2 linked regions of the Drosophila melanogaster genome follow. Changing the gene in region 2 together with the main gene of any one other region gives a genetic interaction. Each region holds a gene or a part of one and is shown on either strand. Other genes may lie near its edges.

Region 1 (16,873 bases), on a different chromosome or scaffold from region 2:
TGAAGTTATAGTTATATGTACGTAAAGGCAGTTGTAATCCTGTTGTTTGTTTCATAGTTCACTTTCTTCCCTTTATATCTTGCCTTTTGTTTTATAAATTTGTTGTAAGCACAGACTTGATTAGTCATCATTTTCGGGTTTAACCCTTCTGACTTTCGCACATAATTTAGGCAGAAGAAGTTGTCAAACAGAGTTGAGTGCCTATAGGCATACCCTTCGCATCCAAATGCCTCTTCCTCTTTCTCTTCCACCAGCAAGGGATTAGTTACCGGAACCGCCCACAAAATTTTCACGCCTCGTTAGGAGAACAAAAGGTGAAAAAAGGTCAGGGGATGGCATTGGTTTTTGAGGTTCTGGGTTCGCATGAAAAACAATTTGCATTTTCCGCATTTGCGGTTTCTGCCTGTGACCGATTGAATGGACGAGGGAAAGAGAGAGAGCTTGTTTGACTTTTCCGTGAATTAATTTGGGGGGGCGTGGTAATCTCATTAACTTCTGACAAGGACCGAAAACTCCGTTAACCACAAGACGGCAACTCTTTTTCCCGAATTTTCCCCACACCCACACTTGTTGGTCTATTTTTGAGAAGTTCTGGAAACATTTCCCCAGAGCTGCTAGGTCGCACAAAATTTTATGTGTAAATCAAAGGCGAAAAGAGCAGACTGAAGATGTCCCCAGACATCGCTAATTAACCAAAATAACCAGAAGGAAATTCCACGCCCTTTGACAAATAAATTTTCTTTTTCGGCAAAGGTGAAGAAAATTCCCCGATCCAAAAGCTGTGGTCCGCGTGTTCGATTAACCCCTTTTATCACGCCCAATCCTCAGTGGAGTTTCCCGGCCGCGACAGCTGTCATGGAACACCATGACCCTTTAACCCATGCCACCCCCTTTCGGTGGCGATGCCCCCGGAATTTGATTCAAATTGTTTACAATTGGATTTACATGGCGCCGGACTAGCGCACTAGCCAATTGCTAAATAATTTGTTGGTACATTCTCCGCATTTGATTTTTACCCAACCCCTATGGTGACTTAGGGGATTACGGAGGGTTGGGAGAGTGACAATCGGAAGGACTCTCATCGCCACAATTACACATTTTGTCAATTAGCCAGCGGCTTGACTTTTAAACATAAGCGGATTTGTAGATTTTCGATATTTAAAAAAATATAAAATAAGAAATTAAACAACACACATTGTAGAAGTCAATCAAATTTTCAAAAGTTAGTGTGACTTTAAGTTCACTTATCATAAAAAATGTATTTAAATAGTGTATGTTTACATTTAGCTCATCAAATGCAAGTTTTATGTGCCCCCATATTGGTAGCATGAAAAGAAACCACTTCTATTTCCGACTTCCTTGAGGAAACCCTCATCCTTTTCCCGCGACATCACATCCTGCGCCATCTTTAAAGAAACCATGAATAATTCCAATATGCAAACTGACTCGCATGTAAATGTCCCATTTGTCACTCGTAAACAAAAAAAGGAAGAAAACGAGAAGGATCTCAACTCCGTCCATATGCAAGACATTCACAGGGTCATAAATAAGGGCGAGCGAAGGAAATTTGAGGCGCGAACATTTTAATTAGTTTCCAGCTCGCTCTCGAGTGTGTCCTTTGGTTCCTGGGGCCAGGACACTTATGCAAATTACCCCGGTGCCCCGACTAATGAGAGGGGCGAGAGCGGCTAACACACACCGTGAAAATAAATCATATTTAGTTACAGATGGAGTGGAAATCATTGCTTGATTTCCACAAGTCATCATCGCCACATCATGCTCGTGAGTTCGGGGGAATTTCGGTCTATTCTCCACGGACTGCGACAGATGCCAGCGATTCATCCAAGTACGTATGACATTGTTGCATTGTCTGCCGTCCGAAGACCACCAAAGTTTTCGATTCCTAGGAATTTTCACCAGCCAGCCAAAACCAAGCTAAACTACCCACCCAACCCAAATGCACTTGCCGCATTTTTAAAGCAAGTGCTCAAGTGTTTGCCACTCCATTTCGAGGGCAGCAAACTGGACTCGAGTGGCACGTGGCACGGGTTAAAAAAGCCAAGTAAATTTAATTAAATTATCTCAAACACGTGTTTGACCAACTGCAACGATTTTGCCAAAACAATCGCAACCAGTTTAAATATTTACCCAATATTCACGGCCTAAACGTTCTCATGAGGGTAACTTACTATGCAGCTATGTGTGTAGGAAAAAGGTTTCGTTTACATAAGAATAACAAAGGGGGATGGAGTCTTCTAAAAATACAACAACCTTTCTACAGATTTATTATTCCAACAAACAGAAGGTGAATCGAATCGTATGGGCTAGGTGCACAATTTCTTCCCACAAAACATTTTCGCACATCGCAACTGTGCGATGGGAAAAACTCGTTTATCAGTCGAATAAAAATCGCAAAAAATCATAAATATTTACAAGTCTCTCGCTTGGCGATCTCCGGCGTTCGATAAGCATTTTTGTGGCCGGTGAAAACAACGTGGCCATAAACATGAAATTATTTTTCAGTCTGGCCAAATATGTGGAATCCAACGCATCAAATGCGAGATTGGAAAAGTGCGGTTGGTTCATTAACTTTGGCGCGACCAAAGATCGATTTGTGGCCAAAAATAGTTAGCCAAAATACACAAAAATAAGAGAAGTTAAGGAAACTTAAGTTGGTTAAGCAAATCAATAAATTCAAAGAGATCTACTTGATTTAAAATTGTACATACTTGATTTGAAGTTGTATGTTTTCAAGTAGTTTGCATTTAATCAAATTCCAAGTTGAAGTTTCCCCAAAATATGCTGTAAATACTTCGATGTTAACTTTTATGAGCTGCTTGTCGGCGAAGAGGAATTCATGCATCTCATTTGGGGTTTTAGTGCAGCTCCCCGAGGGGCAAACCCTGCCCATTTTCCATTTCCCACTCCTCGGCCACCTGGAGAAGCGTGTCAGCATTGGGGATCCTCTGGAGAACCACAAAAACGCGAACCCACTCCTCGCTCTCAAGTAGTAGAGAAATTGTGGAATGAGCTGCGACACATTTACTAGATTAATTAGCTCATTTACGGTTGACAATGTCCGTGTTAATTCCCCAAGAATTAAATGATAACATCATACGAAGTGGACGAAAAAGGTGTTCTACGTGTCAATGAAATGGCTTGGCAAATGCTCGATGACACTAATACGTTTGTTTGTAGGGGGTTTTCTCTTCGTTTTTTTTTTTTGTAGGGGTAGTAGTATCTGAAGTGCAGACGATTTGCATAATTCGAAGGACCAGCAAAGGACGCACCCTTCGCTATCCAAACGCCCAGCTAGTTTGAACCACTCACACCTTCCCTGATCATCTTTTCTGCACCCCATCTTTATATGTTCCAACTCCCCCTTTTCCGAATACACAGACGGAAAATATTCATTAGTTATAATAAATTAAGACCAGAACAAAGGAAAATATATTTTAAAATACTAGAATAATGCTTAGAAACTAAAGAACTGCAAGATCTCGCTTGTAAAGGGTTTCCTAGTTTCACTCAAAAAATGTTGCAAAGATCGAAAATCGATCGTGTAAATCATAGGTTATATTAAATTTCTCTCAGTGCACTTAGGCACAAATATAATTTGACTTCATTATGCGAACAGTTGTTGCCTTTAGTTTTGGTAATTTATTTCAATTTTTTCAGTCCTCCGTTGCTCGAGACTGCCGTGGGCAGTAAGGGGTTAATGCTCCTGCAGTGCAACCCCTGTAATAAATAAATATCTAGGTCCTGCAAATGTTCATTTAACTGAAGTATGTGTGTGTCTGTGTGTGTGTGTGGGGAAAATGTCTCAAATGTTTTGCTGCCGCTGCCATTGTTGCAATTGTAATTTGTTTTTATTGTCGCTTGTTGTTTGAAGAATGAGTATTCCGGGTGTGGCCATAAAGATGATTCTCTTTAGTCACATCAAAAATGTTGCTAGGCTAGAAAAGAACTAGCCTATCACAACATGGATGCCAGCATTCCTAATTAATTTTTGTGAAATTTTCAAATCTCATCGGACCCCCAAAAAGAATGTGGAAGGAAGAAGCTGGCAGCAGGACTAAGGAAATCCCGAGGGGGCGACCTTTTTGGCCTTTTTGGTCTCAGTGTCGGCCACAAACAAGCTGGCTAACAAACAAAAACAAACAAGAAAACTGGTAGCAGAATAACGGTACCGGTCTTGGGCGTGTTTCGATACTGGACATCTGCACTTTTGGTCAGACATTTTGGAAAACAAGGATATTGACATATTATCTTCGTCTCATTCTCAAAGGTTTCTCCGTAAACTTAACAGCCAATCCCATTCGCAATCCACTCGAAACTTCAGTTTTGTGGTCCTGCTCTAAAGGACATAACCATGCATATAAATTTGATTATTATTAAGTCGGGCACATTAGTGAGCATTTCTAATGAATGGAATCGAGTCGAGCAGATCCTTGTGCCCGAAAAAAGGGTCAGCCCACAGACACACACCCAACCACCGTCACATACGAGCTTGTTAAAGCCAATTTATAAATACTCAGGTTTATGGTTTTAAGTACTTAAATATTTAGCACACTTCTTGGCCTCAGACTGTAGCTCTCCCTCTCTCTCTCTCTCTAAGGTTATATACACCTCTCTTTCTCCACGTGTGTGAGGCTTTTATTTATAATTTATGCGTCCGCAGGGCGACACTCATTCGGTTGCGAGTGGGTGTGGGCATGAGTGCACTCATTAAGCAAAGGATGTCCTTAAAGGTAAATGAGCAAATTTAATTTAAGCTTTATTTTTACCATATTTTGGTGAATGGATACAAATGCTCCTTAAGATCTATTAATAATATATATCTTCTGATATATGCACCATTTTTGTAATACAATAGTAAGTATCACTCATGATTAATAACCGAAACATCTTTTCCCCAATTAGGTAACACAAAATGAGCAAATTCAATCGCGCTAAGTGCTATATAGACCAATTTCCTCTTTTCAACCGCCCCCAATTCAAATTTTTGAAGAACATTATGCGCTGCCATCGAAGTGACCTGATTAATGAAGCCATTTCGATTCCGTTGTTCAGCTTAGCGATTTCAATTATCGGACATGTTAGGCGGGGTTGCACTTACCAGGGGGGGTGGCTGGTTGCATGGGCGGTGCAGACGACCGCCGATTAGCACGTGCCACTCGTTCCGAGCAAAATCGCAGGAAGCTAACCAAAACGCAAGGACACGTGGCAGGAGCGCAGCTTCCAAAGATAAACATAATTATGCAATACGAGGGGGAATAGCAACGGAAAGTTGGCCAATCTGATAACACGCAACGAGATTTGTCATCATCAAACAAAGTGGGCGTGAAAATTGCGGATGAAAAGCAGCCAGGGGTTCTGATCGGCAGGAAGGAAGCGACGATGTAAGGATGCAAAAAGGACACGACGCAATGCTTCCTGCCCGGATGCAATCATGTCCGAGGCGTGTGCGCGAAATATCCTTTGTTTGCGTTTCCCAGGACTCGGAAAAGCGGTACGACAGTAAAGCAGTCGGAAATAATTGCACAGCAGTCAGGATAATAAAGATACTCGCGGTCCAAGTACATTATCGAAATTGATACGCCAGCTATACTATCTGGCGCATATGCTAGTCGAAGTAGCTATATATCCTGAGGGGGCGGAGTAGGCTGGCTATTCCAATTCGCGATTCAGGTCGCGTTTGTTCGCCACCAACCTCAATGCATTTCACTTTGTCGTTGACTATCCACATACACTGCGATAAAATAGCACATCTATTCTGTGGATAAGTTTTCTTTAGAGTAACAAGTTACCTATAAAAGAGTCCTTTAAACACATTCTTACTTAATCCCTTAACCTAAGCAAACTAGGAAATTAGCTAATTATTTTCCAGTGTAACTTCAATTTGTCTGACCATCACGTAGTTCATCAGGCAGCCTTCTTTCAGCCTTTTGTCCTTGTTTCGCATTAAAGTTTCATTTGGCCGAGGCCACTTGGCATGCGGCAGCGTCACTTTTGACCTGGCTGAAAGGATACTAATCATAGCACTGCCTCCATGAGCAACGTTCTCGGCACATCCTCATCAGGCTGATTGCGAAAAATCACTGGAGAAATCAAGCGAGGTTCGTGATTCCATACTGACATATTTGGTGAAGTGGATTTGGAGTGGTTTTCCCAACCCACACATTCAAGTGACAATCACAGTCAAATTTTTTCGACTCTTTTGTGTATTTTTAGGCGAAAAAACAGAAAAACCATGAAAATCAATTTCGCTTGAGGGAGGTTGAAGCTAAAAAGCATATTGTCATTTGGTCAACCCACACCAACATATCTGAAACATTAAACAGATTTGGCCTTCCGATTTGGTTATATTATTTCCTTCAGCTGTTTCAATAATTCATATTTTTCGCTGATCCCCAGAGAGATGCAGGAAAATTATTAACGAAGGCCAAAGAAAATCAAATTGAACTTTATTTGCTCTTTAAATAGTTGGTTTTATATGTTTTAAGTTGAGTGTCGATAGCAGGGAAGTGGTAAAAATTTAAACAAAATAGTTGGCCGTAAATCAGACGGAAAGTGAGGCCAGTTTTGGCACTTTGGCCAGGATCTAATACCCATGTCCTGTTTGGCGATGAAAAAGGGGGCGGTGCTTCGTGTCCCAAGTCGGCTGTCAAACATAATCACCTTGCACCCCCCCCCCCCCCTCTCCATCCCAGAAGTTCTATTCTCAAAGGAAATTTATGTTTTTTATATGGACGGCGGAGCAGAGACAAAAGTCTGTGTGTGAATGAAATATATTATTTTGCTTTTTACCCGCCCTGCTCTTTCATTTTTTAACACATTTTGTAATTTCAACACGTTGCCACGTACCGCAAAAGTTTCTTCCACTCCAAAATGTCCACCAATTGCAATGCCGCCTGTCCACCACTCGGACTCGGACTTGGATCTGGACTCGGATGATTAATGGTTCCGGGTATTCCGGGACAGGCTCCGAGTTGGCTGGGCCAAATAATAAATCGTTCAAATCGGCTGGGGATTATTTTTCCTAGTAGGCGGCGGTCAGCATTTTGCTCTGTCACCATTTTTGCGAGAAAAAGAATGGAATTTTTCCTTGACTTTTTCGTATTCAATATTTGTACATATTTTTGCCAACGAACGTGTGCGAAATTCAAAAATACTTCTGCACAACAAATGGCAACAAATTTGTGGATTTCAATTAGATTAATATAAATCTAAGGAATTGAATTTTTTCATGTGTTCAAAAGAAAAAAAACGGAATTAAGGTGGTAGATTGGCTTAAGTAGTGCGTGAAAAATTGGTAATATTTTACTGAAAAAAGTACATATGTCTATTTAATTGTACTTGTTAGAAATACCCTACTTCTATCAGCAAAACGTGCAAAATGTGTATATGCAATATAATTTGTGTTGCACAACTTGTCTTCAATTATTTCTTGATTGATCAAAGCCTTAGATTTATTTTAGGCAATTAAAAACAATAATCCCCAAATAACCGGTTAATTGAAAGGATTTCCTGGAATATACATATATGATAATGTAAAATTAAATAACAAAATTTGTTTTCATTTCGTCGAGCAAGATCAATCGAAAATCCCATCAAAACCAGTTTTGTTTCAAACAGATGGAGCGGTAAAACCGAGCGAGGCATAATATTATTAAAATTCACAAAATATTATAATTAGTGGACGCATGCCAGCCATTAAACAAATGAGTATATATAGTTTAGCTTTATGATCGGCAATGTATGTATAATGCATAATATTTCTCTGAAACTCCGTTTGTTAGGTGTTGGCCACGTTGTAATCAGGTTATTGCCCCAAGCCCAAGAGAAGAAGTTCGAGAAGTTCTTTATTGCCAAAAACACGAATCGGGTCAAAAGCAGAGCTCAAGGCGCAGACTGGGTACAAAAAAAGTACAATAAGAAAAAGCGAGGGCACTTGGCCAATTTACACGAGCTGGCCAAAACAGTTTGGCGTTCGAATATATAATGCGAAATACAAATAAAGTGAAAACAAACAGAACAGAAATTCCCCGTTGGCGCTTCGCTGCTTCGTCATGTGTTTATTTCCCATAATCATTAACTTTTTGGGTGGATTTATATGTGAGATAAACTCTGCTGCAGAGAGGGGAAATTAACTGAGAGATGTGATAGTATTTAACCTTATGAATCATTGAGCCTAACTTTACGTTTATGAGCCACAGCCAGAGGTTTTAAGAAACTTTAAATGCCTGCCTCTTGTTTTTTTTTCTGTATTTGTTTATTGTTCAGTCTACCTACCGGTGGAGTTATTTGCCCAACTCTTCTGCCTGTTTGACGGCTTCTGCTTGTTCTTCCAGCTTTAGATGATAATGATGTAGATGGTTCGCACTGCGTCAGCATTCGAAATTTCCATATATAAGCGCTAGGGAGCCGCACCGCGAGCTTAGTCGTTTTGGAACTTTTCACGCGTTCGCTGCCTCAGTCTTTCGTTTCGTCTTTGTGAGTGCTTAACCGCAGATAGGCCCCTCTGCATACCCCTAACCGCTGAATTAACCCTACTAAGTGACGAAGTGTGTGTTCTTACAGATCCATACCGCTTCACAATGAAGTACGCTGTGATTGCCATCGCTTTGTTTGCGATTACTACCGCTTCGGCCTCTTCCGGTGAGCAAAAAAGCAAATTTGAGTATAATTTGAGGAGAGCTTAAGCCGGATTGTGCACTTACATCATCGCTAGTCGGAGCTGCTATCGTGTTTATTATTAATTGAATTAACAAGTCGGTCGACGGGTGCTAGTATGTTAATAATACCCAAAAACCTATCGAACCCATCCGGAAACCCAAACTGGTTTGTGAAATTCGCGTAGCTCATTAACTTTGCGACAATGTTTGTCCAGCAAAACTTTCCGCACAACAAATTCGCTTTTTATTACGATTCCTAAAATATGGCTATTCAAAATCAGCATTACGTTTGATTATTCACGCGATCGCTGAGTGGACAAACTTTCACACTCAAAAAAGAAATTGCCATTGTTGAATGTTTGAGATTTATAAGCATACTTTTGGGATTAGCATTATCATAAAAAACTTGGAATAAATCTGCATGGTATATATGCTAAGTATATGTAATTATTCAAAGGTTTTCATAATATTAAAAATAAATTCAATAGTAAAAGTTCATAAAATATTTAATCGTGGTAAATAAGGGCGAGATGTGAACGAAATCTAAGCTTTAAAGCTATATTCATAGATTTCAGATACTTATCGCTGAATTCATTGCTCTTTATTCATACAGCTGGCCAGTTTCTGCCCCGTGCCTTCTTCACCTTGGACTCGGAGGGCCACCAGTCGAATGTCCATCCCGTGAATGCCCATCTCCTGAGGCGTCTGCGTCGTCAGTCCAGTTCGTCTTCCTCGTCATCATCCTCCTCGTCCTCCAGTGGAGGAAACGTCTTCACCTACGCCTCACACAGCGTTCAGAATGCCGATGGCTCCGGTCATTCTGGCTCCTCTTACACCCAGCAGGCCGCTGCTCCAGTGCTTGGGTGAGTTAACTGGAAAATGAGGACTTCTATTGATGATCACTAATGATCGTTTTAATTTCCAGTGGTGTGTCCTTTGATGAGCGTTTCGGCGAGAGCTCCTTAACTGGAGGCGACAACTATTATCCCACCTACAATGGCTACACCAGCGCAGCCTCCATCAGCAGCAACAGCGGAGTAGGAAGCACCGGTAGCTATCAGCACATCTCCGGAGTTGGACCCATTCCCGCCACCCAAATCCAGCAGACCGTGGCCGTTGTCGATGCCAGTGGCAACCAGAAGGTGACCAACATCCAGGGTGCCACCGATTCCAACGGCGTTCTCAATATCAAGAAGACCGAATCCACTTACTCATCCAAATAGAACATAGGTTTTTTTTCGAGTGTAAACTTTAATAAATTACAGTAAATTAACTGACACGGTGCCTTCTTAACAGGATATTTGTTATGAACTCAGAAATAAGAGCTCGCAAAGAACTTTGCTTTTTTCGCTTGCCATTTGGTTTGTGGGATTAATTGCTTCCAATTGGGCGCACTGCCACGCCCCTTGCAGATGTCGCAGTGTATTCATTGCGGTTTCCGCATCTGAAGTGTTCTTTTTTTGTTTTGCCCACTCTAGATGATTGCATCCCACATACCATATCTTAAAAGTTCCATCCTGTAACCTGCATCTGCATCCTATATCCTTCATCCTCTTTCACTTCGCAGCAAAAAGTGATGGATGTTTCGAATGAACCAGGGGCGTACCAGGGTTTCGGTTCAAGGGGATCAATACGAATATGCACAATGTAGTCAGTAGAGTTAAAGAATCGAAAGAAAATAATTAAAGATGTTGCCTTTTAAAAACCCTTTAACCATCACAAAAGACAAAACAAGTTACAAAACATTAGTAGCACTTCCGAAATGTTTACTTGACTTATAGGAAATTTTCAATAATGTTAGTATATTTCAGAATTTCATTATACCTTTGTTTAGTTTTTTTACTTTCTATAATCTTCAAATATATTATAAATCATCGCAGGTGTTTCGTGACCCCTTTTTATCCTGCGTACGCCACTGTCAGTTGGAAAGAGATGGCGATATGTGCCGAGTGCTTGCACCGATGAGCACAAACAATTGCCGGTGGGCGTGTGGGGGTTAATCGGGCGTGTTTCAGGGGGCGTGGCAGGCAGTGTTGGTAAATGCTTTTAGTGTATTAGGGCAGCCAAGTGGAACTTTACAGCCTCCAAGGCTGTTAGCGATGATTAAAAAACTAGTGCACTCTAAGACAACAAAAGCGGTAGTGACAAAAACTACTAGTTTCACCACGAAGAATATGAAACGGGGAAAATACGTAGAAAATGGCGGGTGGCGATGTTCCGAACAAGATGTGAATATGGGATTTGCTTGGGGAATTGCCGAAATCTCAACAGGTGCACGCACTTTTGAACAAACAATCCATCTCTCTCACACTCACATGCCAAATGCTGTAAAGTTTGTGGTAACTTCGGCGTGATGAAGTGAGCGAGACAGGGAATGCTGAAAAGTTTTTAATTATTATAATTAATTACTTTGATCTCTGACTGGCAACTCGCTCCTTCTCGCTGCTATTAATTTACTTGATTAAGATGAGGTTTTTCCCGGCTGCTTTGTTTAAAATGTATCTCACATAATTGAGAAAGTGTAATGAATTTACGCTTTCAGCGAGATAGATTTTCATTAGAGCATGGTTGGCATGTGTGGAGCACGGATAAGGGTTAATTGTGGGAGGGCCACCAGAAGGTTAAGAAGTTGAATAGATTATTCCATCATAAGTACTGAAAACTTTCAGCTTTGCATAAATTATGATTAGCCTTAGCACAATTTGGAGTTCCGTGTTGAAAATAATGTATGCCAGTGTATAGGTACCTTAATTGCAATATTTATCATTTATAAAACTAAGAAGAATTTCTGAAATTACTAAATAACTAAAATTAGTGAATGGCTCATTCAAGTCTTAATTGCACGACTCAACCTTTGACTTAGCCACTCTCCCAATTCAAAATCAGGTTTTGGCTATGATGTTTCTCTTCATCCTCTTCTACCATTCTTTTCATTCAAACTCATAGCAAAATATTCTTAGAAATGGCATATCTAATTATACACTTCAGACAATACCAAGCGAATTATAAATAAACCTTTTGCTATCGTAGTTAGTTAGCTAAGGTAGGTAAGCCATGTGAGCCCTTGTAAGTACATCTAGAGTCAAAAGATTTCCGTAACCATGTTTATCGGCCTAATTGTAATTGTTATTATTAATTAAGCTGGTTTTAAGCAGTGAATAATTAGTGGCTTTTGCGGTCTTCAATGAAAGCTTAATTCTTGAGAGCTAGATAAAGAGGGAAATCAAGAGAACATGTTTCAGTTGGCGTGCTCTGAATTTTCGATGAAACGGTACTGTCGCAAAAAGCAATTCTTCTGCTTGTTCTTGCACCATTCCAGTTGAAGAATCGCTCGCTGATTGATGGGGAGTCAAGCGGAGACAGCGGACAACTTGCAACAAATTAAGCTTCTTGTGTGGCCAAGCGTTGCGGTAGATCGACGCCACCTGGTCAGGTAGCCACCATCACCACCACTGGCATCACCCTGCCTCTGTTCCATCTACGCTAGATACACTTTAAAAAATGTTGGTAAGTAAGATGGGATCATTTAATCAGCATTCTATTCTTTTGCTTTTATCTTAAAGAAACTTCATAATACAAATTTATATTGTTAGTCTTTTAGGCGATTTTACCCATAAGCAATGGTTGCACTTCGACTAGGTGTATACCATTTTTTTTTGAGTGTATCTGAGCATAACCCCTCCCATCACCGTTCCGATCGCATTGGCAAACTTCCACGGAGTGACCACCGCCGGCGATGCCTAAATTCAGTTGGACACGAGCGCCAATGCAGCGATCAAGTGACATTTTATTGTCGGCAATCCTTGCTTTGCCTTGTGCTTTTTCGATGCTTCTGCTTGTGCTTGTGTGCTCGTGCTTTTTGCTTTTGCTGCATTTGCTATTTAGAGGCATGAAAGCAGCGACGGATAATTGACAACAGTTAATTCCATTCCATTGATCGCTGGAGCGTTGAAATGTCGCAAATTTAATTATTGAAGCCGCACGCTGCCAGTTCCACGGGAATCCTCAACTGACTGTGGGTGGGCAGAAATGCCAGTAATCGTGGGGCATGGGCGTCATCTAAAATGATCCAAATGAGGGTAGTATGGTATTAAATTATAAGATATTTTTGAGAACAACAACAGTTGGAAGCAATTCGGAATTAGATGAGAGACGACTATATCCGAAATAGTTTGAGAATGATTAATGTATATGAATGTGCTAAGTTGCATGTTATTATCCATTTTCATGGTATCCATTTACATACATCTATTAATTCTATAATATATATTTATTTTACATTTTACTGTAAGATATGTTTTAGACCCGACTATTTATATTTCCCGTATTTGGGCCACCTTTTTTGCGTCCATAAAGACCGGCAGTCTTAAGCACTCTTTGACATTCAAGCCAAGGCAAACAAAAAAGTTCAGTAGGGACAGGTTGAGAAGCAGAAGGATGTGCAGGTGAGTGCCGCCGTCAAACGAAAGCCAAACAAAACGAACTGTTTCCTGACAAATTTCTGTCATTTCAACTGGAGCTGGAGTAAAAAGCTGGCAAAAAAATGGAAATGGATCTGCAAAAAAAAAGGAGACCAACGATTTGTGCAGTCATCGGAAGCGGAAGCACCGCCAGGATTCCGTGCATCCCCCACGCCCTTCCCTCGTTGACCAAGTGACGAGGACATTCTGACCACGGACTGAGCGAAGGATAAAGGATACAGCTGAGTGAAGGAGGCAGAGTAAAGCGCTCTGTTGACTTAAATCGTTTAGGTAAAGTTAAACAACTTGTTCCGTTAATTGTTAAACAATGCCCAGTCGAAAGGAGGAAAACGAAAAGCAGAGGGTCTGAGAGTTTTCCTCGTTCCCCGGGAGATTGACAGAATCGCTGGGAATAATTGATGGAAAAACTGAAAGCAAACAAATGATGAAAATCAGAGAGACAAGAGGAGACCACGTTGAATCGAATTTAAGATACATTGAAATACTGAACAACTTATGAACCATTTTATATAAATTTACATATAAAGCTGCGAGCAACTTAAGTTTTTAATGCTGCTGATAATAAGTTATAATATATATATATATGTACATATATAACCCATATATAACCCTTGAAATATAATTATCCTGTGCCAACCTTTTCGGACCTCCAACTATAATTGATGTTGCTAATGAACCCTTTTTCATGCAATATGTGCACTTTTCCGCTGCTTTAGATATATGTTACTGCTTTTCCACATGCGGGGGGTAATTGGAAGGTAGTGTCCTTGCAAAAGGGTGAAATTTCCACCCAAAATAATGGCAACAGAAATGAAAACAACAACACAGCAGCGGGGATAAGAGCAATAAGAGAATCTCCATATGCAGACATACATAGATTTCCGTTGCGATTCCCTGGGGGCATTTTCCATTCCATTCGCTTTTCTCGCAACTCTTTTTCAGTTTTTCACGCACTTTTCTGACCCTCCTCCCCAAAATTTCCCCTTCCTGCATAGATGACATTGCAACAAAAACCTTTAGCCAACATAAATCTAAATTTTCATTCGTATTTAGACAGTCTTTCGTGATATATTGTAAGTTTAGTGGTATTTAAAACCATTTAATCGGCACAAAAATTGTTATTTTAAAAATCCATAAACTTATTTTTCGAATTTAAATTTTTCATTTTTTTAGCATTAAATTAGAATGACTGTAAAGAATTAAAGCTATCACAACTATTAACAAGCAAAAAAAAATAGCTAACCAAACCCAATTCACATGCCGTCGATAAAGCAGTTCAGTTCTCTTTCAATTCAGTCTTCTCTTAGCAGCATCGAATTTCTCTTAGCGACAACCGTTGCTTCTTATTGGTGAAAGAAATGGGAGCAAAAAAAGGAAACCAACTGACCAAATTGACTTTGGAGTTTTCTCAAGGCAATTAAAAACAAAAAAAAAAACAATATTTATTTTAAATATTCATACAGCTGCGTCACATGGAAAAATCATGTAAATTTTCAGTCTCGGCAAAGTTCCCAAACTAAGTTATGAGCACATTTTCACTTCAAATTTGTCTAAAAAAATGTTATTTATTGCCGGACCAAGAAAGCAAAAACCAAACCAAATTAAAATGCATTACAAACAATTTGTTTACCGTGAAATCTGGAGGGTTGTGGCTGCTCAACGAAAAAATTGTAAGCAATGCATATTAAATTTATTTGATTTTTTTCCCTGCTTTATGTATATCTACCTTTGAGTTATTTAATAGAAATGTTCCGGCAATTAAGCTTCCGACGAATTTTACACTTTTGTGCACAAAAACAAAGTGAAAAAAAAAAATACAGGACAGCATTTTCATTGTTTGCATATTTAATAAAGCTAATCAAAAACACGTCGCGCCCTCGCCGCATACGAAAAATAAACCCCGATCCCTAGCCTTCAACCCGCCCGATTTGCCAGATTTTTAGGGGAGTGAGGCGCTGCAGTGACAGCATCCTTCACATAATTTATTGGCCAGCACTCAAGGACACAAAGTCGGCAAAGACGGGCGAAAAAAAAAATATCAACAAACGGAATGCAAACAAACGGATATCGAACAAAACTGTGAAAAACCCAGCGGGAAACCGCCGACCGGCAGCCAAACTAATTTGTTGTCATTTTTAAGCGACAAAAACGAAAACAATAAAGCAGTAAAAACAAATTGTTGGGCAGAGATGCGCCGAGAGGGGGTGAGCGGCAGGACGAAGGACGACAATTCGTGCAGCTGCCACGAAACTGATGAATTATTGATTGCATTAATAGTTATTAAAGAACTGGAAACTATTTTTTTTTTGTGCAAAGCAGGGAAAAACTAGAAATGTGATTTAATAAAAACACTGTTTCAATGACTAAGATATGTTCTGGAATCATTTGAAAAATATATAAAAAGTTGATTTCATTTTCAGCAAGCATTGAAAAGGTAAACTGGGTTTTAAAATTGCTTTGTTTTTAGTAATGAAAAAATAAAAATATTAAGACTTGATTGAATAATAGTTTTGTGACTAGTTAAGAATAGTTTCAAATAAAACATTTTTAAACGTATGAAATACAAAATAGGATTTATTAACTGTTTTTTCTCATTTGCGATTGTTTCCACTTGGTGGACATTAACTTTAGCTAAATACTTTAGGCGACAACCACTTGATGTCACTCTGGTATCAAAGTGAGTAATCCTGTGATTATGATCAGGAAACATCCTCCCTTGGAACCGCAGGAAATCGGGTGTAAGAAGGACCAAACAAACAGCGAATAAGGACTCGCCGCAGTGGAAGTCAACAAATGCTCTTAATTAACGATGCTGAACACCAGAAATTTCGAGTGTCAACTAACAATTTGTGGGTGAGTGTGTCCTTCGTCCTGTGGCACTCGTTAGTCGAAAGGATTTTCGCGCATATGGACTGAAATTGATGATGTGAGCAAGTGGCACGTAATCAATTTACCACCGCTCGCTTCATTTCGAATGCGAATTTAAGATGCCATTGTCCCACTGCCGCGGGCACCCCGTATTTTTTTTCTTCTCTATCGCATCCATTCGAGGACCAAATCGAGGGTGGTTCTACGGTCGCTCCTCATTACGACGGACTTTGAGCTGGTGTAACAGTATATCCACAACATATGTGCCACCAGGATGCCAGGATGTCGAGAGTCCAATTGGTGAACGCTGTGGCGGTTGCAAGCGTCATTGTGCGTGGCAAACGGATTAAAATCGAATTTCTGCGGCTGCAACATTAATATATCATGTTGCCGATTAAAAAATTCAATTCGTGATACCAAATCTATATACTTTGCAATAGGTAAATTGTATAAATTGTATAATTTCAACCATGTAAAAAAGGTTTGATTTATTAAACTAAGATAATTACAGTGAGGTACATCATCGAAAGTTCATTAGATGCTCTTCATGAACTTGCACCTTAAATTATTTGAATGTTTATTGTTTTTTTTTTTTTTTGTTTATTTGCTTAGTAACGAAATTCATATGCCTGCTTTAGCCCACCAATAATCCAATCCCATAAATAACATATCTCACTCAATATTTGCGTCTTTACAACCCAAAAGTTCCTTAGTTATTTGAATACCAGTATCCAAATTTTCGAGTAACCCCCAAACGAAACGGAAACCCATCCATCCACCCATCCACATGTGGGACATTCGTTTTATTTTGTTGATTTGCCGTGGGTCTGTGTCTTATTTACATCG
Region 2 (16,207 bases):
TATGATCAAATTAAATTGATGGTACCTACAAAATTTGGTTAATTTATCTCCGTTAAATTATCCCCAACTTCATTGGCATTTGGATTGGATTTGAATAATTGGATACACATTTGAATGTTTAAATGTTACCCATGCGCGCGGTTTGTCCAAGAATCCGTTTGTATGATTTTGGCACTGGAAAATGGGTAACTGCCTTTATCCAACCAATTCAAGCTGGTCCAACTTATGGCCGGCTTCGGAATATTATTCCGAACATGCTGTGGCCCATCACTTTCATTTCAAATAGGTATCATTTCGAAGTACGTATGACGTACTCCTGACTGGCTCCCAAGCCTTTACAAATTGGAACTAATGTGCTTGCCGACATAATTTAAAAATCTTATATGATTCCATCCCATACTGAGTTCTCAATAAAAACTGATTTCTTTTTTTTTGGCTGTGACCCAGTTGCAAGGAAGGGCCAAATGGGCTTGCCGCTTGACGAAAACAGTCGTGATCTCATACGCAGGTGAAACTAATTAACTGAATGACAATATGCGATTACACGCTTGCGGCACTTTTTTTTTGCTCTCCTTAACATTATGCTCTGATCAAGCAGCGCACTCGAGATACAAACATGATATCATACAAGAGAGGAGCTGGTGAGCAGAACAACTTTTCGGGAAATATTAAGTATCATTTAGCATTCTACAACTCACATTTAAGAAATCCATCAGGAAGTTTAGCTTAAACGAGTTTGGGGAAGCTCTTATTGTTGAAGACAATTATTATTATTTAAAGACGTTGTTTTCTGGGTGGCTGTATATAACATACGCGTACTTGTTGGCGGTTAAACATCAGTGCTCAGCGATTCGTTCGAAAATATTAACATCTTTCCTTCTCTTATTGCCCTGATGATTCTCTTACTTGCAGTTTCCACACACTCTGCTTAAATCTGGAAGAGCAACTGCCGCTGTTTGAACTAGAAACCAACGCTACGACAAAAATAAAGGCCAATACAAAAGATCGCGTACCCAAACACATCGGGCATATACGCTATTTGCGACTCACAGATACTTATCGCAACAATAAACAAAGCTCCTCGGAACCCTCGGTCGTCGACCAGAGAAGAGGCAGACTCGAAATGGATGCCTCCGGCGCCGCCACAATGGCAGTCCTCTCCAGGTAATGCAAGCGAGCAGTTCGCTGTCCAGAAAGCTCTGGGGTGATAAGTACTCAGTTCCTGAATTTTAACAAAACTTTAGCAGTCGTACGCGACATCGCTAACACCAATTCGAGAAAACAGCCGTTTCAAATAGAGTAAGTGCGTAAAAGTGGCTGCGGTGTGATTCAACACCCGACTTTTGTGTTCATTTCTAGGTTTCGCCAGGTTTGCCCCATGTGGCAGTTGTGGTGTGCCTAGTTTGTGGCCTTTTATGGTCATGACTCACATATAAACAGTCGGATGTACTATTTAGGTGTATCTAGTTTAATTGCGCTGAGAGAGAGCACAATTTCATGTCTTGAACACCCTACAGAGCGGTGTATCAGTTGGAGTTGCGCGTAATTGTGAATAGAGTGCCTGAATGTTGTAAGCCATATCCACCTATTGTCCTTTTTCCCTGAAACCTGTATTATCCAAAAGAAAAGTCGCTTTCGTGTAGCAGACTGAAATCTTTCTGGTTCAAAAAATATAGTTTCGGTTGTGTTTACTAAAGAACTATCGAAGAAAACACCTGTTTAATATCAAATTTTGTGATACCCTACCTGCATTGCAAAGAAGACTTTTCGGAACGCATCATTTGGATAGAATAAAAACTGATAAACTATTTTGCGTCGGGCTGAGAAACGGACGTGGCTATAACAACTTGTTGGTGATACTAATCAAGAGAAAACCCTCATAGACTCGCAAGAGTCCTTTAGTGGAATATATATTTTTTTAGAGTAGTTCTGTTATCTTTGGTCAATTAAGCTGCCATAATAGCTTTTTGCTTGTCTCTTTCAGCCTGCTTGTGTTTTTGGCCCTCTCGTCCAGTCTGTGCTCAGCCGGCACCCTCAACGCCCGTCCTGCGTTTCCCGTACAATCCGGCGAAATTCAGCCCAGCGGCCAGAACAGCAAGCAGGCAGCCAGACGCGTGATGCATCCTTCCTTCGCCAACGCCGGCCGTACTCCCGGCCTGGAAATCTGGCGCATCGAGGTGAGTCAGATTTTGGGATTTAGTTGTTCTCTTGCCGGGTACGGGGAATAGAATAAATAAGCGTAAGTAAGGAGCAGATCGCGCTGACATCGATGGGATAGGTGCGGTGCTTATGCAGTGGCACCCAGAAGGCTGGGAGAGAAGGGTACGAAGGCGGAGGGATGGCGCCCGATACGCGCCAGCTCGAGATCGGCAGACATTTGCTTCTATTCTGGAATTCGGGCAGTGTGGCGGCCATGTGTTTATAAATATACATACATAATGTATCTTTCCCGAGAAGATATATGGAAATTGCTTGTATACATTAGACGTCTGATCCTTCTTGTTAATTAACTCCAACATCGGCCAAATTTATTAGGTTCGAGATGCGATGCGTTTGTGTACAATCAGGCGATGACCAGAATAAATGTTTATACCAAACAGTCAGACATTTTTGGAAATTATCTTCTCTGGAAATCAGGTAATAGTTTTTTTTATCTTTTCAGAATTTTGAGCCCGTTATATATCCCAAAACTAACTACGGCAAATTTTACACTGGGGACTCGTTTATTGTTCTTAATGTAAGTATGCATTTGAATTGTTAAAGTTTTAATTAAACGCGTGGAGTGAACTGCTTGGTTAGCAACTGGAAGGTTTTAACCTTGTCAAAGTCATGTAAAAAGGCATCTGTGCTTAGCTTAGTAATAAACTTTACATTTTTCTGCAATACCTCACATAAACTTTTCCAAAATCGAATCATTATGTTCATTTAGACAATTGAAAACAAGAAAGACAAAAAACTGTCTTGGGATGTGCACTTCTGGCTGGGATTGGAGACCTCGACCGATGAGGCCGGAGCTGCAGCTATTCTCACCGTCCAGTTGGATGACTTGCTGAATGGTGGCCCTGTTCAACATCGCGAGGTGCAGGACCACGAGTCCCAGCTGTTTCTGAGCTATTTCAAAAACGGTAAAAGTAGTCAAACCGATTTGGACGTTTCATTAAACTGAATGTTGTTGTAGGCATTCGCTATGAACAGGGCGGCGTCGGAACTGGCTTCAAGCATGTAGAGACAAACGCCCAAGGAGAAACACGACTATTCCAGGTCAAGGGCAAGCGAAACGTGCGCGTCCGACAGGTGAATCTTTCCGTGTCGTCGATGAACACGGGTGATTGCTTTATTTTGGATGCCGGCAGCGATATATATGTCTACGTAGGCTCCCAGGCCAAGCGCGTTGAGAAGCTAAAGGCTATCAGCGCTGCAAACCAGATCAGGGACCAGGATCATAACGGACGAGCCCGTGTTCAGATCGTCGACGACTTCAGCACTGATGCCGATAAGCAGCACTTCTTCGACGTGCTGGGATCGGGCTCTGCTGACCAGGTGCCCGATGAGTCAACTGCTGACGAAGATAGTGCCTTCGAGAGGACAGATGCCGCAGCGGTTTCTCTCTACAAGGTCAGCGACGCCAGCGGCAAGCTGAAGGTGGACATCATTGGACAAAAACCACTCACTCAGGCTATGCTCGACACTCGCGAGTGCTTTATTTTGGATACTGGATCTGGCATTTTTGTGTGGGTCGGAAAAGGCGCCACTCAGAAGGAGAAGACGGACGCCATGGCCAAGGCGCAGGAGTTCCTACGCACCAAGAAGTACCCGGCCTGGACCCAAATTCACCGCATCGTAGAGGGCTCCGAGTCCGCCCCATTTAAGCAGTACTTTGACACCTGGCGTGATGCTGGAATGTCCCATAGTCGCCTTATTCGCTCGGCTCTGGGTATCGGCTCCGATGAATTATTAAACGATGACGAAATCGACTCCGTGGTGACTCAGCTAAAGAAGAGCGGTGGTCGTGCCTTTGGGTTCATGCCGGATCACGGTCAGAACGTTATTGAAACCATCACACAGTACGTTGCAAAGCCTGGTTCCGATGAGATCGTGGTCAGCACCGTTCCCTTCGATGAGAAACTTCCTCTTTTGGGATTTGCCTCTTATGTGCTCACTTACAACTACGAGGCTAACAACGGGGACACTGGTTCTCTAACCTATGTGTGGCATGGAGTAAAGGCCTCTGCTGCCGCTAGGAAACGTGCTTTTGAGGAGGGTCTAGTAGGTTCCAAGGATGGTCTTCTTGTCCAGACCAATCAGGGCCACGAGCCGCGCCACTTCTACAAGATATTTAAGGGGAAGTTATTAACATCCTTTACTGCACTTCCGGTGACGGCGCAGCTTTTCCGCATTCGCGGCACCGTCGAAAGTGATGTTCATGCTAGTGAGGTGGCCGCCGACAGCTCATCTTTGGCCTCAAGTGATGCCTTCGTCCTTCATTCGGGAAAGTCCCACAAAATCTACATTTGGAATGGCTTGGGCGCATCTGCCTTCGAAAAACAAGCAGCGGTTGATCGCTTTTCTGACTACTGGGACGACGTTGAGCTCGAGCAGGTGGAGGAGGGTGCCGAGCCAGATGAGTTCTGGGAGGAATTAAACGGCGAAGGCCAGTACGACCGCAGCTTGGGTGACGATGGAGCTCCACTGCTGGAGTCGCGCCTTTTCCACTGTCATCTGAGCTCTGGTGGATTTTTGAAGGTTGAAGAAGTTGCTCAATACGAGCAAGAGGACTTGGACTCGGACGACATAATGCTACTGGATGCTGGCGATGAGATCTACCTTTGGGTTGGCTATGGCGTGTCTGAGGAGGAAAATGGGAAGCTTCTGGACACGGCAAAGGTTTTCTCGTTTCCCACCATCGCTTTCTATCACGTCTAATTATACGTCTTTTCTTGATTTACAGCTTTACTTTAATTTAGAGCCTACCGCCCGCTCCTTCGACACGGTGAGCATCATTCGCGTCCCCCAGGGCAAGGAACCAAGGGTTTTCAAACGCATGTTCCCCAACTGGGACGATAATTATTGGCAGGTACGTGATCCAAACCAGACCTAGAGTTTGTCTTCGTTTAACTGCTTGCTTGTACAGTAAGCTGATTACTAATGCTGATGGCCTATTCTCTTAATTGTAAAGTCGCTACACAATAGATTTATATAATTTCTATGTATTTTTAACCCTTTTCTTGGTCTCGTAGAACCAGCCCAGCTATGAAGACATGAAGCAACTTGTTATTGATGCCAACAATGAAGTCTAAAACCAATGATTCAATTCTCAGCAAAATTTACCAAAAAATATGTTTGTTTTTGCCTTTCTAACACCTATGTTTATCTAATATAACTTTAAAATAAATTTCAATATGGCCACTGTTTAGCACAATTTATTTTTACAATTCACTAGTGTAATGTTGTAGCAATGTATTTAAATATCTCCTGTGAAAATAGTTGTTGGGCTAGATTGGTCCATATACATACACACAGATGCCATAGGAAGAATCGAAATATAAATGGAAAGAATATACCATTTCTTTTAATATATATTTTGGCTTAAATTTCATCAACATCATACAAACCTGATGTAGGCATCTGTCAGGCCCAAACAGTAAGTTCGATCCAGTCCAAGAAAGAAGACACTCTGGTGTAAACTGATGGGTAACTACTGCGGCAGAACACGCCGTATGAGGTGATGCCAATTAGGTGATAGTGTATTCTATGCCCTCGGCGCCGACCCGGCAAATTCAGTTGTAGGGGTCCACCCGAGTCCCCCTGGCAAGTGTCTCTGTTGAGAATGTAGTCCTGGGCGCAGATCTGGCTTTCCAGAACTCCACTGGGAGTTTCAGCAAGAGGCGGCAGCTCGGCGTTGCACTCAGCGTTCGGCACTACGGTCAGGTTAAGATTTGTGAGGCGGTTCGTCATGGGCTTGGCGAAGCTCGTTGCGCCGTACCCCATTGCGAAGGCTATCGTAGTGGGCAGCTCTGGAAAGACCCACAGGCGGACAGGTCTAACGTATTCCGTCAGTCTTAGAGAATCGTGTTAGCAAACAGCGGTCGCACTTCTGTCTTGTTGGGTACCCACTCCACTTCCTTCTCCAGCTTAAGTAGGGCTATGTCGTCATAGTACATCTTTTTTTTGTAATTTGGGTGCGCGAACACTTGCTCAATCCGAAGCAGCTGGGCCTCCACCGACCGCTTCTCGGAGGCCAGGTCAAGGTCCCCGATGCGAACCCACTTGGGGGGCGCCCTAAGAGGAAAATTACAGTCACGGGACTGGGGGTCAGGGGGCTAACTGGCATGCTCACTCGTATATGGATGTACAGTGGGCTGCGGTAAGCACGAATCTCTCGCTTATCAAGCTGCCGCCACATTTGTAGTCCACTTGCCCTCTGTCCGACTCGAAGCCCACGGCAGCCTACGAAAACAGATTCGAGGGGCTTGGGTTAGTTCCTCAGTAGAGGCTTATCAGCTACCTAGTTTCGTACCATATGTGGGTACTCACCGGGCCGGGCCAGGACCCGACCATCGAAGTCTGCGTCGTTGGCATCGGCAGCCACTGCGGTATCATTGGGAAAGATGCGCTCCACATATTCGGAATATTCTTGGTGATAAACTCAGTCAATGACTCACGAACCATCGAATGGCTGAACACTCGAATTACTTACTTTGCTCGCAGAGGCGGCGTTGCTTGTTTTCCTTCTTTTTAAAGCCCCCGGGGGGCGGCGGAAAGGGCTGGCCGGGCATCGGCGGCGGGGGGTATTGTCTGGGCTTGGGCTTGGGCTGGGTCGGGCCCTCCACCCGATCAAATTGAAAGTCTGTTATGTGAAACCACATCTTCTCCTCGGGCTTGCCTGGTCCCGCGTCTAACTCCGGAAAGACTATGTCGCGGTCCACGGGAGAGCGGATCGAGTCGTCTTGCAAGGGGCGCATTCGCCCTTCTGGGGGCAGGCGCTGGGTGTGAGTATTGCTCAGGCACCAGAGCCCGATAAATGATATCAGACACACGGACAGATTGCGAAGCATCGTAAGGGCTCTGCGAACGCGGCGAGTGTCAAGAGCAGACTAAAACTTCTGCGGGTCGGTTAATCCCAAAAGGCACGCAGCTCTGTCTTATCAGCGGGGCTAACAATCACAAATACAAACAATTTATTTTTGACGAGCATTAAATGACAATTCCAAGGCTTGCTGGGTTGACGATATTGGCCGTCAGTGGCTGATGAACCTTAGTGGTGCCGCCAATTCTTTCGTACTGCGCAATAATTGCCCGCTGAATATTAGCCAAATCCCGATCATCTTTGTAGCGCAGCACGGATACCGTAGGAGCATTGTCTGTGGCGGCAGCGGGGGCTGATAGAGCGATGGTCACCAGGACTAGCAGGATTATGAACTGTGTGGACAGCGATGGGAGCCATTAGGAGCAGTTCCGCTCATTAATTTGTGCATACTTACGTTGAGTATCTTCATTTTGTCGAAAACTCAAAAACGGACTAAGCCTTGCGCCCTTGCATACATCTCTTTTATACAAAGCTTAAACAATCAATGCGTGCACTTACAGAAAATAATATTTTAATTTTTGAAAATCAATGTGTGCCGTTGCATAAAAATGTTTTTATTTCACTTTTTATATTGACTCAAAACCCAATTTAAATATGACTCAGATGATATGGGTTCATAACCAAGCGATTTAAATTTTCTATACATGTTTTGAGTGGTTAAAACCATTTTTTACGACATCAACTTATAATTAAAAATTATAAACAGTTAAATTTGAACTATACATTTTATAGTGCAGTGTATAACATGCTTACATAATTAAAAACCTAATGGGATCCAGTATAAAAGTGTTCAATAAATTGATAAAATATTAAGTTGAAACATGTATTCTCGTTAGGTGTGAACCTGTGATAACTTGCTTTGATGAACTTGAAACATGTATATATTGTATATTATGTACATATATATATATATACAGTGATTATTCTATGTAGCGAATTTTTCAATTCTCAAGAGAAATATTCTTAACATGAACTATAAAATGGGTAGTTCTGTGAATGTTTTCTTTTTGTTAAAAATCGATTTGCTCTTCCCCTTAGAGTTTACTGTGTGCTCTGTTGGACGCAAAACAAGTTTTTCAGTTATTTTATCAAAAACAGCAAGCATCTGATGACACTTACCAAAAAAAAAAAAAAAAACTCGCTTTTCAGTTATATGGCCGCCGGACTGCTTTTATATGACACCTTTGTGAATATTAGTGGCTTACTTATAATGACTTAAAAGTTGTTTAGCAAATAGGTGGTTCAAATACGCGAATGTTGTTTCTGCAGTACATTAGTTAATCAACTAATGAACAAAAGGTTAAAAAATGGAAAAACGATAACAAAATAGTCGGAAACTTTACTTGAAGAAATATGAATTGAAAGTATATGTCGTGAAGTGCACATTTTTGTTGAGGAAGAAGTTCGCCTAAATGCATAAAATGACAAATACTACAATTAAGTATCAGAGCATTTTTAAAGTAACATTCGAATAAAGAATATAAAATATTTAAAATGTGTTTAAATTATCATTACAAAGAACACTAGGAGAACATTTTATATGGCATGTCCGCACAAACTCTCAAAGCTTTTTGTTATAATTTATAATGTTACTTCTTCCTTATTTGCTCTATAATATGCAATGAAAATGGGCTGAATTATCAAATAGGCCTACGTCTCCCTAATTTCAATAGATTTGCATATTCTCCATCTTACAAATGATTGCTTGCATCAGAAAAGCCACTGGAACAGTAACGTATAAAAGCGTCGACCAAATGTAATCTTCGGCAAAGGAAACCCATCTGCCGAACTGCCCGCACAAAAAATGTATTTAGCCACCCACAAGTAGATACAAGTATTCACGATGCGCATCTTTCTAGTAAGAACACAAAGCATTTATTCCGCACTTTGTGTAACCATCAAACAATTTCAGATTCTAAGCCTCTTTCCTATGGCGCGAGGGAAGTACGACTACACTCCAGTATCGTATGCCGGTAATGGTCACGGAGGACTGATTGGCGCGCCCAGCTTTCTAAGGCTATAGCACCCGCCAGCGAGTTCACCAAGGAGTTCTTCACCTACAGTGCTCCAGAGCACGAATTTGATGACCACCCCAACGAGCAGATCGCTCACTTGATAAAGAAGAACGTGCTTGTGTTGTTTATCAAGGATCCCGATAACAAGGGACTGGAGCAGGCGGCGCTCCAGCTGGCCACCTCCGCGTCCGCCGACCGCATCGCCATTTACGTGCTCAACAAGCAGGAGAACATTGGCAAGTGGATCACCAACCTGAATACTATCCGTAACAACAACAAAAACCGCAAGCCCGAGGTTCACTTTGTGAAGTATTGAACGCAGAGCGACGCGAAGAACGCCCAGCGCACTATCCAAGCCCAGTATGACTTGCTACCGGGAGTTTCAACCAACTACAACGGTGGAGCCTCGGTCTCCGTCTTGGACTTTGCGTCTAAGGTCATTTCAAGTGGAACTGACGACGGGAATGCGTTCGTTCGCAAGGTAAACGCACCGTCGACAAGCCCGTACTTGCCACCTTCTCATGAAAAGTATTAGTTTAAACGCAAAATAATCAGTATAAGATATAACCGAAGACATTAGTGCCTTTGGTATAACACTATGTTTCAATGTCGTGTTACCGGGAAAGGAGATTAGCCGTGACTATATGCAATCATTACGGACGTAGTCCACGTAGTGAAAAAGAATGTGCCACGGGGACCACAATATGTATAGGAATCAATGATAATCTGTTTTTTCTATAATAATAATTTGTGCTAAACAACTTTATTTAAAAAACATAACGGCATTTTTAATTCTATGCATGCTTAGATAACGTTTTTTGTACCGACAAAACTGTACAGGCCATAAAATTCCCCTTACTTATGGTATTTAATAGTCGTAAAAACAAAAAACAAAAAAGAATGCTGTAGTCGAGTTCCCCGACTATCAGATACCCGTTACTCAGATCAATTCACCACTTTTCTGGTATTTCGATAGATATTGGAGAATAAACTGAGGAAAAATTTAATAAATTTAACAAGGCAAAAAGCTGCGTCTATGTACATGATCTCAACTCTCTAGCCTCTATAGTTCCTGAGATCTCGACGTTCATATGGCCGAGTCGATCTGGCCATGTCTGTCTGTTCTATAAAAGCTGGATGGATTAGATCAAACACCCACAAATCGCCAAAAGCTGCCACACTGTTCAAAATTGTAAATAACATATTTTTAATTTTTTCCTGCCAATTTCGATGGGTTTTTGGCATGTTGTTTTGCCTCCACTTTAACGCTAACAAACCGCCCAAAAAATGTTGCGATTACTCGTTCGCACTCCCTCTAGCTGAGTAACGGGCAATTTATTTCATTTCGTCAAATGAAAACTTGATTTTTGGAATGTTTTCGATTGAAACTTAAAAACATCGACTCGCCTAATTAACGCTCAACTGCCGACCAAAATTCGCTTTACCACACTTTATAAGAATATTTATATTACTCGTAGAGTTAAAGGGTATACTAGATTCGTTGAAAATTATGTAACAGGCAGATCCAACCATATAAAGTATATATATTCTCGATGAGGATCAATAGCCGAGTCGATCTGGCCATGAACGTCTGTCCGTTATTTCCATTACCGTTATTGCCCATTATTTCCAATTACCGTTGTGCAAGTAGAAAACAATTGAACTAGCAAGTAAAAGCATTACCCATAACAATAGTATTGTTAGCATGATTCCAGGTTGGATTCAAGCCATGAAGTGCTATATTTCTGAAGAACTGAGCATATTTTCACAAATATCTTTGAGCTTATTGGTTTTTCTGCATTTTTGAAAAGACTTGTTTAATAACAAATTCATTTATACAACATCTGCGACAAAGCGAATTTTATATGCAGATAGATCGCTTCCCACAATTTTGGTCATGAATGTGTATAAATTGGGTTTCCGTCCATAAAACTTACTTTCTTCATATTATCCCAGTTTTGTCAATCGAACCGCTTTACCTATTAATATTTTGCATATAAATATATTCAGCGTTGACAATGGGGATCTCAAGCGATTATTTAAATTTGAACGCAGCGTTGGTCGCCAAGTTAGATAAGATCCCGGACTGTTCAAGCAGTGCATCTGCGCACACGGATCTGTGATTTGGCAACCGCCAATGTGAAACGTTACATATTCGAAGTTGTGAAGTCTATAATAGATTCATACGATTTATGGTAGTGCCTAATAATTTTTTCATTTATTGGGAAAACGATGCCAGCCTGGACAGATATAAAAACATAGCAATGGGAAGGCAGGGCATCATTCGACCCTAGCAGCTCAGACAGTTCAAAGTGAAAATGAAGCAGTTCGTTGTTCTAATGGTAAGCAACTGGCACATGAGCGATCCCCGCAACAACTAACACTTAATGTGCTCTTGCAGTGCCTGGTGGCCCTCACAGCAACAGCTCCTCAGGGATACAAGTACCAACCTCAGCTGCCAGCCCTTCCCATTGGCAATCTTCGTCCTCTGACACCCATTTCGTCAAGTGGAATATACGCAAGTGGCGCCGTCCCATCTTTCCCACAGGCCGGTGCTCAGCCCGCGATCGGTGTCCAGCCAGCCATTCAAGCCGTGCAGACCATCGTTGCCGCTCCTGCTCCCGCCCCCGCTCCCGCTCCTTTGTCGATCTCACTCCCAAAGGAGACTTTCCTTACTGCTTCGCCCCAGCAAAACCTGATCAGCACTGTGCAGCAGCAGCCTCAGCAAATCGTGTACCAGCAGCAACCGCAGCAAGCCCTTCAGACCCAGTTCGTCCAGCGCCCCGCTATCGTTACCAAGGACATTTACATCCACTCCGCCCCCGAGGAGAATGAGGAACTGCGGCAGGACGAGCCACTTCTGGAGAATGTGCCCATCCGCAAGAACTACCGGATCGTCTTCATTAAAGCGCCTTCCCAGAATCTGAAATATACCGCCGCGGCCCTGAAGCGGGCCCAGTCAAGCAACGAGGAAAAGACCGTCATCTACGTGCTCTCTAAAAAGCCCGATCTCACTGAGATCCAGCAGCAGCTGCAGGTTACCCAGTCTGAGGCCAAGGTTCAAAAGCCGGAGGTCTACTTCATTAAGTACAAGACCCAGGAAGAGGCCCAGCGCGCCCAGCAGGAAATCCAGGCCCAGTACGACGCCTTGGGAGGTGCAACCCACATTTCGGACGAGGGAGTGGCTCCCATCGCCAGCGTTTCGAGTGGCTCCCTTAACCTGGGCAGCTTTGTGCCCCAGCACTCCCAAGCTGGCCAAACCATCATCCACTCTCAGGCGCCAACCATTATCCAGCCACAGGGTCAGCCCATTGTTCAGCTGCAGTCTATTAACCAGGGGGTCCAGGGGGTCCAGCAGCAGAGCTCCTTTGTGCAGAAGTCCACCTCCTCATTCGCTCCCTCGGCGCCATCAAGGAAGTATGTGCCGGCAAAGACTTTTTAAAAAGTTGTAGTAAGAATCCTATCGCTTTCATTGTTTTATATCAACCATCATACTGTAGTAAATTTTAATTTATTTTTAATGCAAAAGTCGAAAGTCGAAAGAAATATAAAAAAATTTAAATCGAAACCCAAAAAGCCTTCTGTTTCTAGTACTCGTTTTTAAGTTTAATCCTTTTAATATTTTAGATAGGTTTTGTTTTAGGATTTGGAATTAATCTTTCATTTAAGGCATAGCTTGAGTTTAATGTTTCTTATGAAAACGCTGTTTATTTTTATCACAAAAATGTTTCAATGGGCTAAGAGACTATGACAATGACTTCTTTCTCGCAAGAAAGTTTGGACCATCTCTTTTGGCATTAAGCCAACAGCCATAATAATCAAGTTTTCGTGTGGCTTAATCGTTGTTATGTAAGTCAAATCACATGCTAATTTATGCGACCGGTTTTCGGCTTGGATGGCTGTCATTGGACTAATGGATGTGGTAACATGGTCCATAGAAAACTATTTTGTTACTTTGAAGTATTGAAACTCGATTTCATATTTGAATATGGCTGCAGAGTCGCTTTCTATCATAAGGCGGAGCTCAAAATATGAACTTTATTTAACTAAATGTGTAAATTACAAGAGTTCAAGTCTTAAAATTACGACAGTGGCCTTGGAGTTGTACCTAAGCACGCAGATTAGTTGGCAAGTAGCTGTTTGGCAAGGAGCCAGAAAACTGTCCGGATGAAATTCCGTTGTTGCGCTGGTTGTCCAGTACGCCAATCACGGATGTAACGGGTGCAACTCCCTCGTCAGAAACCTGTGATGTTCCGCCAAGCTGGTCATATTGAGCTAAAAGAAGTAAATCGGTTAAAAATCGGGTAATAAAAATTTGGACAAGCCAGATTAATTGGTCGATAGACATTTCTATGAAGCTTGCAAATCGAAACATTTGAGGTCTGTTGCATACTGATGAGGTCTTCAAGTGTGTCTCATAGCATCTGCTCGATGCGGGTGTTGCTCACCTTGAATGGTACGTTGCGCATGCGCAGCTTCCTCCTGGGTCTTGTATTTGATGAAAAATACCTCTGGCTTGCTGGGCTGCTTCGGCGCGATTTCCTCGATGGCAGTCTGGAGATCTAGTGGGTCCGGCTTCTTGGTCAGCACATAGATGATGGTCTTCTCCTCCACAGGAGCCTGTTTGATGCGCAACGCCGCCTTCGAGACACTGGTCGTCGGTGCCTTGATGAAAACTATGCGATAATGCTTGCGCGGAGGCGCGGGCGGAAGGACGGGCTGAGGGTAGCGGTCCTCGGGCTCTTCTGCTGGTGGCACATGGACGTAGATGTCCTTGGAGACGAGGTGCTGCTGCTGAGGCTGATGTGCCTGGGGCAGCGCATTGTACGCCGAATTTGGGCCGAACTGCGTCGCCTGCTGTTGGTAAGCGGAGGCCTGGTTTTGATTTGAGTAAGATGCGAGCCCTTCTCCTCCGGTCAGGACCTGCTGCAACTTTGGAGCCTGGAGTGCCTGCTGAAGGATCGTCTGCTCCGCAAGGGTGGCAAACTGCGGAATAGAAGGCAGATGGAGTTGACCAGCTTGCGCCGACGATTGAAGCTGTTGCTGGGCTTGGTAGTTGTATCCTTGAGGAATGCCGGCTGCAAGTCCTAGGAGGCACGGCACCTATAAAACTAAGTCATTACTATTGGTGCTTGGACACCTCGGCTGACACTAGAGGGCTTACAATGAAGAAATGCATTTCCGATTGAGTTGAAGACACCGGTCCCTTGGCAATCAAAATTCAACTAAATGCTAATCACTAGCCGCCCAGACTTTTATGTCGCTGACTCGATAATGTCGGTACGAAAAAGTTGTGTCCGCAACGCAAAGTTTAAATGAAACTGAAACCACAAACGCTCAAGCCGCACGAAAACTCGCTTGCGTTTTCATACAACCTTGAGGTAACGGTAACTTTTTGGGAACTCACCCAAAACCCTAAAGCTCTCGAGCTTCAACTTAGGGCCAAGTCGAAAGCGTCGTCTAGTTGGAAGTCTTGTGCGATGGACACATACAAATGTGGAGATTAGTTTGGCACATCCATTTCTCTAGCTTTTGAGGTGATCATGATGGTGGATATTTGTTGCTGTTGATGGCCGATCATAATTGACGAACCTTTGCAACGCAAAATCTCGAATCGCAACTTGCATTGATCACACAATAGTCTCATTTAAAATGGCGTCTACCTGGAAAACTTTCGCTTTTTCACTATGTCTTAATGAATTTCAGAAATTGCTTTGGTTTCCGATGACCCAATTATTAAATTGTAATTGGTACATAGTTGCACAATTTGATCTATAACATAATATGTATTTTCTGTATTATATTTTCAGCATTTAGCTGACGAAAAAAGGCAAGTCCTAATGCTTAAATCAATGTCCGTCATAGCATGGGTCATAATTGGGGGCCCTGTTGGGCCAGGTAAGTGGTGCTGACGATTTGATATATGACTGGAGATTTATCAAAACACAAATGGCAGTGCGGGCCAAGATGAAGCACAATCGCTTCAAATTACCGTGTGGCGTGCGTTTCTTCCCCGATCCGTTACGAGTACGCAAATACTGCGGCATCACACTTATGATCGACTTATTATGCAAGCCACCCGTTCACACGAGCTGTGGCGCCCCCGCAATCAGCAAATTGTGGGCATCGGCAACTCCTGGTGCTTTTCTCCGACCTAATCTTGCAGACAAAAGATAAGAGCGTCTTGGCCCACGGAGTTACGCAATGGTATCTACACTGAGTCCGCGGCTTTTTGGCGCACTCTTTGGATACGCCGCAGAAATGTACTTCGTTTACAGCTCTTCCCTGTTCAAATTTCAAACTTCATTAATTTTTATTTCATGGCGTTTCGTGTGTCGGCTATTTGCATGGCCAAGGCTTATGGCGCCTACATTAGGATTGAATTAAATAATTAAAATATAGAAATACCAAAAACAATCAATAATAAGTGGGCACAGGTCATCCGCAGAAAATGATTGCTGATTGCTTAATGTTGGACATCCAGTCGAGTGATTTTCTTTAAGCCCAGGTAAAATAACATTGAATAATTTTGCACACTTATATTATTGATTATAAATTTGAATTCCTTTTCAAGCGCACGATCTGACTGGTTTTGTGTTATTAGATTGAAAATATGTTGAAATATATATGTAAGTACAAACTGCAAATCCAAAAGCTCATATTAAACTCGGCAAAGTTTTTTCTGGGAGTTGGTTTAGACATCGAATGAAATAGCTTTCTTTGACAAAAGCTTTGGAGATTTCTAACTGACAGCAGCGAAGTCCCGGGGCAAATATTGGACATTATTTGGTCTTTTTAAAATGAAATATAAACAGCAAATAGTAAATACTACGACAGTGACGTCGTATAGTACGTGTAATCTTTTGAGTTTGTGGCTAATAACGAGCCTTGAGTTGAAAATAGTATTGTATCAATACAATACACCTTGACCAAATAAATACAGCATCTGAAATTTGTACATCCGGCAAGCAATTATCGAAGTTACGGTTTTTTTTTTGCTTATTTAAAGCAAAGTACTGGGGCATTTCCCCTTATCTGCTAGAAAATATCGATTTAATTTACTGTAAGATGGTAGTATGCTTCTAATATATGGTGTTAAACGATT

Evidence for each region.
Region 1: of CG14642 (region 2) and kn, changing one suppresses a phenotype caused by changing the other (phenotypic suppression), as found in Drosophila melanogaster (one study listed by BioGRID).

The regions. Positions count from the first base shown.
Region 1 is NT_033778.4:14,799,983-14,816,855, forward strand, and holds the start of kn (knot), read right to left. Parts: upstream 7,080-16,873; coding exon 6,868-7,079; intron 1-6,867. Other genes in the region: hui (hase und igel), read left to right, coding at 8,601-8,661, 9,292-9,541, 9,604-9,901. UniProt on the Drosophila melanogaster protein: May act as a 'second-level regulator' of head patterning. Required for establishment of the PS(-1)/PS0 parasegmental border and formation of the intercalary segment.
Region 2 is NT_033777.3:4,235,641-4,251,847, forward strand, and holds CG14642 (uncharacterized protein), read right to left. Parts: upstream 7,078-16,207; 5' UTR 7,056-7,077; coding exon 6,698-7,055; intron 6,634-6,697; coding exon 6,518-6,633; intron 6,448-6,517; coding exon 6,338-6,447; intron 6,280-6,337; coding exon 6,115-6,279; exon of another isoform or gene 6,059-6,114; coding exon 5,629-6,058; 3' UTR 5,613-5,628; exon of another isoform or gene 5,560-5,612; intron 5,493-5,559; 3' UTR 5,405-5,492; downstream 1-5,404. Other genes in the region: Gel (gelsolin), read left to right, coding at 1,124-1,164, 1,985-2,177, 2,663-2,737, 2,930-3,125, 3,179-4,884, 4,949-5,074, 5,238-5,297; CG34305 (uncharacterized protein), read right to left, coding at 7,195-7,419, 7,482-7,496; TwdlF (TweedleF), read left to right, coding at 11,421-11,444, 11,504-12,544; TwdlG (TweedleG), read right to left, coding at 13,211-13,377, 13,551-14,205, 14,267-14,281.